Drosophila melanogaster: one gene and its partner. The protein of the gene in region 2 interacts with the protein of the main gene of each other region in a pairwise test. Each region holds a gene or a part of one and is shown on either strand. Other genes may lie near its edges.

Region 1 (3,755 bases), on a different chromosome or scaffold from region 2:
GAATGGGGCGATGTTTCGGAATGCTGCGGAATCGGAACCCGTTTTGCGCATGCCCACGGTGCGTATGCAAGATTTATGACAGTTGCGCTTCGGCGGCATCCGTCGAGCACGTGGCGGACCACCAACAAGTGTGATAAGCGTGATAAGGCCCCGAACGCAAATCCAAATGTTTTCCACCGAGCCACCGGGGGATTGGTGTCTAAGGTCAGGGACACTGACCGCACACCGCTGATACCAGACAGTTGGAAGCAAGTGCGAAAAAAGTACGGAAACTATAGTTTATGAAAGTGACCATCGTATCTAGGATCTAAGTATATATCTCTATATTGCAGTGAATATTAATAATTAACTTCGAGCTTAAAATGACTTATTATCTAGAGGTGGTATTCCAATTGTGGGAACCATTAAAATCAAATGCAAAATGATGTCTCACGGTGGGCAGTGTTGGAGCTGATAAGCCGCCTGCTTACAAACTAGATATCAGTGGGCCCAATTAGTTTCTCCACTAATTTCTTATCGAAAATTTGGAACCCCATCAAGGAAGCCTATATTCATTCAGAAAACAATAGGGATCTCCAGTGAAATAGTATTCTTATCAGGCATCGACAGTCCGCCGTATTATGCAACTATTTGCACTTGAGACACAGTTACCTCGCCATCCTGGCAACAAAGTTTTAGTCTTATCACACAGGTGAAACCCCCAAGCGCAGGTGCACTTTCATTCAGAAAGAATTAGTGACGCGGAGGGCGATAAGCCGTGGAATAATAGTATTTCCTTATCAGCCATCGACTGCTAATTCAATTATGTAACAGTTCGCACTCGAGTGATGTTAATTAATTAAGCCGGCACTTGAAGCACAAACTGGCTGTCTGTCCGTCGGATTAGTCATCCACAAGTACGGCCATAGCATCTCGTCAACCCGACATACTTGCGGTGGAATCACCTGGGAGGTGGGGGCATCTCATTATAACGCACATTATTAACTGACGCCTCGTGTCACGCCCGAGTGGGCAAGGAGACCACGTTGGGGTAACCCGCCAGGACTGGCGCCCAAAACCGCCAATCAAATCGGCATCGCAATCGCAATCGCACTCGCACTCGCACTCGCTGACTCGGAACGGCGGCTCGTCCTGCCCGAAAGTCCGTAGGACTTAAAGCCTTAAGATGCAGTTTCCTGCGGTGGCACCCCCCATTTGCATGCCAATCGTCGGGAGCATCTTGTCCGGGTCCTTGCTTATGCATTTCGCCGGGTCCTGCTCATTTTGCCAAACAAATTCAGAAACACTTTAAACTATTTTGCTCGCTTTTGGCCGCTCTGTCTGTAATTTCATGTTAATATATGCATGCAACCGAACTCCCGGAGCTTTTCGAGGTACAGCCCCCCTTTTGGGGCGCCGACACACAATGCAAATAGCGCAACAGGGCGTGGCCCTCCCCGAAATTATTACAGCCATAATAAAATGCCGGCGTTGAGTTCATTTAAAAGGAACTATTTCGGAGAGTCCTTTGAAAGCGGCGCAGAACAACATTTAAGTTCAGGTTAAGCTGGCGAAATAGTTTCTGAAAACTTAAAGTAAACGTTCCAGGCGGGTCAAATAGATACTTCAAAGGATATTTAATATCACGAGCTTAAAACTATTTACAATATAAAGCGCAATTCTCTGTTAATCAATCACAAAATACATTTTTTATGCCACGTCCAAGTAATACCAGGTGCAATCAAATTAGAACGAAAAATATTGTACTTGCAAGGTAATCCCTTATAGTTTCCAAGATATCGTTCGTCAGAATCTATCTGTTAAATATTTTTCTAAGAATATAGTACAGCTTTTTATCTGACAAAAGTTCGGGAATTAATACTTTTGACCCCGGCGAAGTTTGCTTACTCACCTGCCTCTGAAAGGTGTTCCCATGGGACAAGTGGTACGGAAGTCACTGCCTCCTGGAGCGGAAATTAAAAAAGTGACTCCGGCTAGATTAGACGAGCCCACCTCGGGAATCAGCTGATGTTACCGTAAATCTTCGACTTATTTTGGCCAAACTTTGGACTCGGCAAGTGTAGCGATTAATTGCTTAATTGATATGATAAGCGCCCCTTCAGGGCGATATAAAAAGACAACGTAACGGCTCTGGGCACTCAGTAGAGATTTAGAATTGGACTAGCAAAATGCCGACAAAGGCGGTTTTCCCCACCTTCTTCAACAAGGAGACCCAGGTCTGGAGTGGCCCGCCACGGCCCACGGTCTACGACCACAACACCTCGGTCGGTCAGATCGTGTTCAACTCCCTGAGGTGCTGGCCCACCAATGTGATTCAGGTAAACGATTGCGTGACTGGTAGCCGGCGGAGACGGGAATCTGATGAGCTCGATTATATAAAAGTAGATCACCGACGACGACGGCACCGTGCTGACCAACGCCGACATGCTGGCCTACGCCACCCGGATTGCCCTATTCTTTAAGAGCGAGGGCTTGACCCAGGAGGACCGCGTCGGGATCATCGCCAACTCGAGCACCTTCGTGATCCCCGTGGCCACCGCCTGCTTCTTCCAGGCCACGCCCTTCCACGCCGTCAACTACTCCAGGGAGCCGGCCATCGTACAGGGTCTCTACTCGGTGACCAAACCCAAGATCATGTTCATCGACGGTCCGGACTACGACCGCATCAAGGAGATCACCAAGGAGTGGTCTCCCAAGCTGATCACGCTCACGGGTAAAGTGGAGGGCGTTACTAGCATCGAGGACCTCGTAAAGCCCCATCCCGCCGAGAAGATCTATGTGTGAGTAGTTTGAGATCTTCAATCAATTTAAATTTCAATAAATTCATTATTTTAAATATCTTTCAGACCTGCTTCCCTGGCCACTGGTGGCGACCAGATCGCCGTGGTCCTGTGCTCCTCCGGCACTGCTGGCTTGCCCAAGGCAGTTGCCCTCTCCCACCGCCACATTGCATCCACCAACTCGTGAGTTCTCAAGTTCAAAGCTCCCAGACTAGCCAGTCTAACCCATCTCTTCCCACAGGCTGTGCATCAGTACCGATGTGCTGTACACCAGTGCCACCATCGACTGGATGACCGGATTCTCGATTACCGTAATGAATCTCACATGTGGCTTCACTCGCATCATATCCAGGAGGACATTTAGCGCCGAGACGGCTCTCTACCTGGTCAGCAAGTACAAGGTCACCTGCCTGGCAATGGCGCCATGGCAGGCCTACGAGCTCTTCACCAGTCCACTGGCCACCAGCGAGCAACTGGAGTCCCTGAAGATAGCCTTCGTGATTGGAGGATGGATATCCCTGGCACTACTGCGGCGGGCCCAGGAGCTGCTGCCCAAGACCTACGTGATGTTCTCGTACGGAACCACGGAGACGGGAGTGGTGACCATCAACATCGACCACAGTCTGGAGTGCTCTGTAGGCAGACTGGCGCCCGGCATGAGGATCAAGATCCAAGGCGAGGATGGCCAGCAGCTGGGCGTGAATCAGACGGGCGAGGTGCTCATCGACATCGGCCTGAAGTGGGAGGGCTACCTCTCGAACCCGGAGGACACGGCCACCACCCTCCAGGATGGATGGATCAACCTGGGCGACCTGGGCTACTTCGACGAGGACAACAACCTGTACTTGGTGGACCGCAAGAAGGACCTGCTGAAGTACAAGTCCAAGCACTACTGGCCCAACGAGATTGAGCAGATCATCGCCGAGCTCCCGGAGGTGGAGCACGTGTGCGTGGTAGGCGTGCGGGATGCGAGAT
Region 2 (3,714 bases):
TAAGGGCAAACATTTATTCTTATCCTCCAGTCACATTAGTGCGAAGGCTAAGAGCAACCGTGATGGGTTTGCTTTGGAATTACGAATGGAAGTGGAGCAAAGCTGTGGGATTTAGAGTCATTTAACTTTACGGATCTTTAAGCGTCACTACTACTACCTAACTACCTTTCTTTCTATAGGACCATTTCATACCCTAGAAGACATCGTTTGCCTGTAGTATTGTTAAAATAAACGAATAACTAACTTTCATATACCAAATCTCAAGTAAAGAATGTTTTATGAAATGAATACACCTCTCTTAAGATATATGAATCCCAACATGTGTGAGAAAATTAACATAAAATACCGATAAGATTACATAAACATGCAAATCTTCCACTTCATCTTATAATATAGCATTATTGATCCCCGGCTGGCGACTCACCTTGATAATTTACAAATTCAGTTGGAACTGTTTGATTTATTCGAAAGGGTTTGCATATATCATTTTGAAAACGGCAAATTGCGATTATAATCGAAACAAAAGTGAGCAGAGGAAGAGAAGAAGAATAAGAGGAATGGCGATATTAGGGAGATAAAGTTGCACGCGAAAACCGGTTGCCGTTATTGTTTACACCAAATCGGAAACGAAGTTGTGGGGGCAGGCGCGAATATGAATGTTGTACGGAGGGGAAGAAGTGGAAACTGGGCGGAAAACGGAGAACGGGGAACGGGAAAGTGGGAATCAATAAAACAAACACACCACGAAAAACACATGGAAAGTGCAGCAAAACTATATGCCTTTCATTTCGGTTTAGTGCACAAATCGGCGAGTCCTGCTGCCACAAGAATGAATCATTCGAATCTTTTCGATTTTGTCGAAAGATATGATATGTGAGATAAATAATATGCTGATGCACAACCACACACACACTCGCACTCACGCTCACGCACACCCGCCCCCACACACACGAACGAACGAGGCTTCACTGTTTATGTTTATTAATATATTCCAGACACGCGGATCCATAGAAGAAAATCATACATATTCGAATTCACGGCGGCGACGACAGCAAAATGAAAAAAAATCGAAAACGAACCGAAAACTGAAAAGCAGAACACACGCGTTGGTCCTATTCGTTCCTTTGTTTTTGATATCGTATCGCGAGGGGCTAAGAACTATAACTATATCCGCATTATATAACCGCACTGGTAGATCCGGGCATGGCTGCACCGTGGGGCACGTAATTGCACCCGTCACTTACACTTTTCCTCGCCAGTCGCTTGGATCTCGCGTCCGAGTCGTTTGGGGATTTGTTTTTTAAAACGCGACGTTCGTTCCTCGGTTCTCGACGGCTATAAACAGTGTGGCCGCGCCGGGAGTGCAACTATAAGCCGATGGTGTGACCATGGCGGGAAAGTGGTATTATGCCGTGTGCCATATGGGCAAATATACCAAAACAATAAATAGCAATTCAAATAATTTAATATATAACATGTTTACTTAAAAACTAAGCTTTTTACCTAAATAAGTATAATAAAGATATAATAAAGTAAAATATTATTTTGTTATATATAATATTACCTGTGAAAAAATTTTAAAAACGTCAATTTGTTTTATACTTCTTTATTTCTTTCATTTATATAAAGAATTCCATGTTTAATTTATTCACATTGAAACATATTCAGCATAACAGTTTTGACCCACTGTAAACCTCCCTTTTCAATACTAATTCTAACGTCAACCATTGTTATCGATAACAGCTAATTTGCTGATCGCTCTCGTTCGCATAAAATAAACACTTTTCCGGCATTTTAAAATGGTAAGTAGATATTTAACGAACTGTGCCTTTTATACATCCCTTTTTTCCGCTAGTTTTCTGTCCTTCATAAAGAGGAAAATGCGCACGACAGTCAGCTATGGGCGTGCACCTGGGGACGCGACACTGCGGCCTCAGATCCGGATGACGCGGTCGTGGAGCCCGAGGAGAATCCCTTTGATTTCGATAAGAAGGAGGCCCGCCCGAAGGATTTCTTGGTCACCGGCGGACTGGATGACTTGGTAAAGGTGTGGGACTTGCAGGAGGACAACACCCTAAAGTTGCGCCACAAACTAAAAGGACATGCCCTGGGAGTTGTTTCTGTGGCCGTCAGTTCCGATGGACAGAGTAGGTTGAAAGATTCTGTACTTGGGAGATAGAGAAATGGACATCAATTAATGGTGCCGCCTTCCTTCCAGCCATTGCCAGTAGTTCTCTGGACTCCACCATGTGTTTGTGGGATGCCCGTTCGGGCGACAAGAAACACCTACTTAGCTTTGGGCCTGTTGATCTCTGGACGGTGCAATTTTCACCCTGCAACAAATATGTGATATCCGGACTGAACGACGGCAAAATCTCCATGTACAGTGTGGAAACCGGAAAGGCAGAGCAGACATTGGATGCCCAAAATGGGAAATACACGCTTAGCATTGCCTACGTAAGCTTTATCTGGTAAATAACCCATTTTGAGAATCCTATAGCTGTATTATTCTAGAGTCCCGATGGCAAGTACATTGCCAGTGGAGCCATCGATGGTATCATTACCATTTTCGATGTGGCCGCGGGCAAGGTAGTGCAAACATTGGAAGGACACGCGATGCCAGTGCGTAGCCTTTGCTTTTCTCCGAACTCGCAGCTGCTGCTCACTGCCTCAGATGATGGTCACATGAAGCTTTATGATGTGTAAGTGGCTTAACACCTATGACATTTTCAGGCACTACTATCTCCTCGTTTTAGAACCCACTCCGACGTTGTGGGCACCCTATCTGGGCACGCATCTTGGGTGCTGTGCGTGGCATTCTCCGAGGACGGCAAACACTTTGCCAGCTCCTCCAGTGATAACAGCGTGAAAATATGGGACACCTCGGAACGCAAGTGCCTGCACACGTTCGCCGAGCACACAGATCAGGTGTGGGGCGTCCGATATAGCCCCGGAAACGACAAGGTGGCCTCTGCTTCTGAGGACAAGTCCCTGAACATATACTACTGTCCGCCCAATGCCATTGTTTGATTTCATACAATAGAGCGTAGGTTTAAAACAAAGAACAAGAATGATTTATTTACGGATTACCCTCCGAGCTCGATTTAACCCGCAGAAGGGGCTGCGTGGCTTGAGTTAGCATCGTGTCTTTGTACTTCTGGTCGGGTATGTACATATTAAAAGTTTTAAAGTAGTGCAGTATGTTTTCTAAAAAGGGAAAAGTTAGACTGAGGTATTCTGAGAACACATTTTCTTTTAGGTTTACCAACTAGAGGCTCCTTAAGCTTGTACTCATTGGCTATCTTCTTGGCTGGCCAGGATTCAGGATCCAACTGGTGGTCATTGATGAACTTAAGCGCCTGGCGCAGTGTGCAATGACCGGGGCTAATGCGGTTGGGCTCCAGATATCCGTACTCAAAATCATCCGGCGTTTTGCGTTCCAGGGGCAGTGGTCGCTGTTCCACATTGTCCGCCGCCGCCTCAGCTGCCTGGCGCTCCTGCACTCGCTTGATCTAGGGAACATATAGCAGGTTCCATATTAGTATTGGTCGAAAGTACCTTCTAAGGTATTAACCCACAAATCGATCCTGCGAGGTTACATAAACGTCTTTCAATCGTCCGTCCAAGCTGGAGTCTTTCATATTGAGCTTGTCCACGAACTTGGGATCCACTGTAATGGGGAAAATGAAGCATTACACTCCAAGGGTGTTTAAT

Evidence for each region.
Region 1: the proteins of CG3909 (region 2) and CG4563 interact in a two-hybrid assay, tested with the Drosophila melanogaster proteins (one large-scale study listed by BioGRID).

Annotation. Positions count from the first base shown.
Region 1 is NT_033778.4:24,451,419-24,455,173, reverse strand, and holds the start of CG4563 (uncharacterized protein), read left to right. Parts: upstream 1-2,133; 5' UTR 2,134-2,168; coding exon 2,169-2,318; intron 2,319-2,385; coding exon 2,386-2,780; intron 2,781-2,846; coding exon 2,847-2,963; intron 2,964-3,021; coding exon 3,022-3,755.
Region 2 is NT_033777.3:10,041,548-10,045,261, forward strand, and holds CG3909 (uncharacterized protein), read left to right. Parts: upstream 1-1,722; 5' UTR 1,723-1,799; coding exon 1,800-1,802; intron 1,803-1,855; coding exon 1,856-2,147; intron 2,148-2,218; coding exon 2,219-2,457; intron 2,458-2,514; coding exon 2,515-2,702; intron 2,703-2,756; coding exon 2,757-3,030; 3' UTR 3,031-3,059; downstream 3,060-3,714. Other genes in the region: CG11722 (uncharacterized protein), read right to left, coding at 3,080-3,207, 3,266-3,512, 3,579-3,670.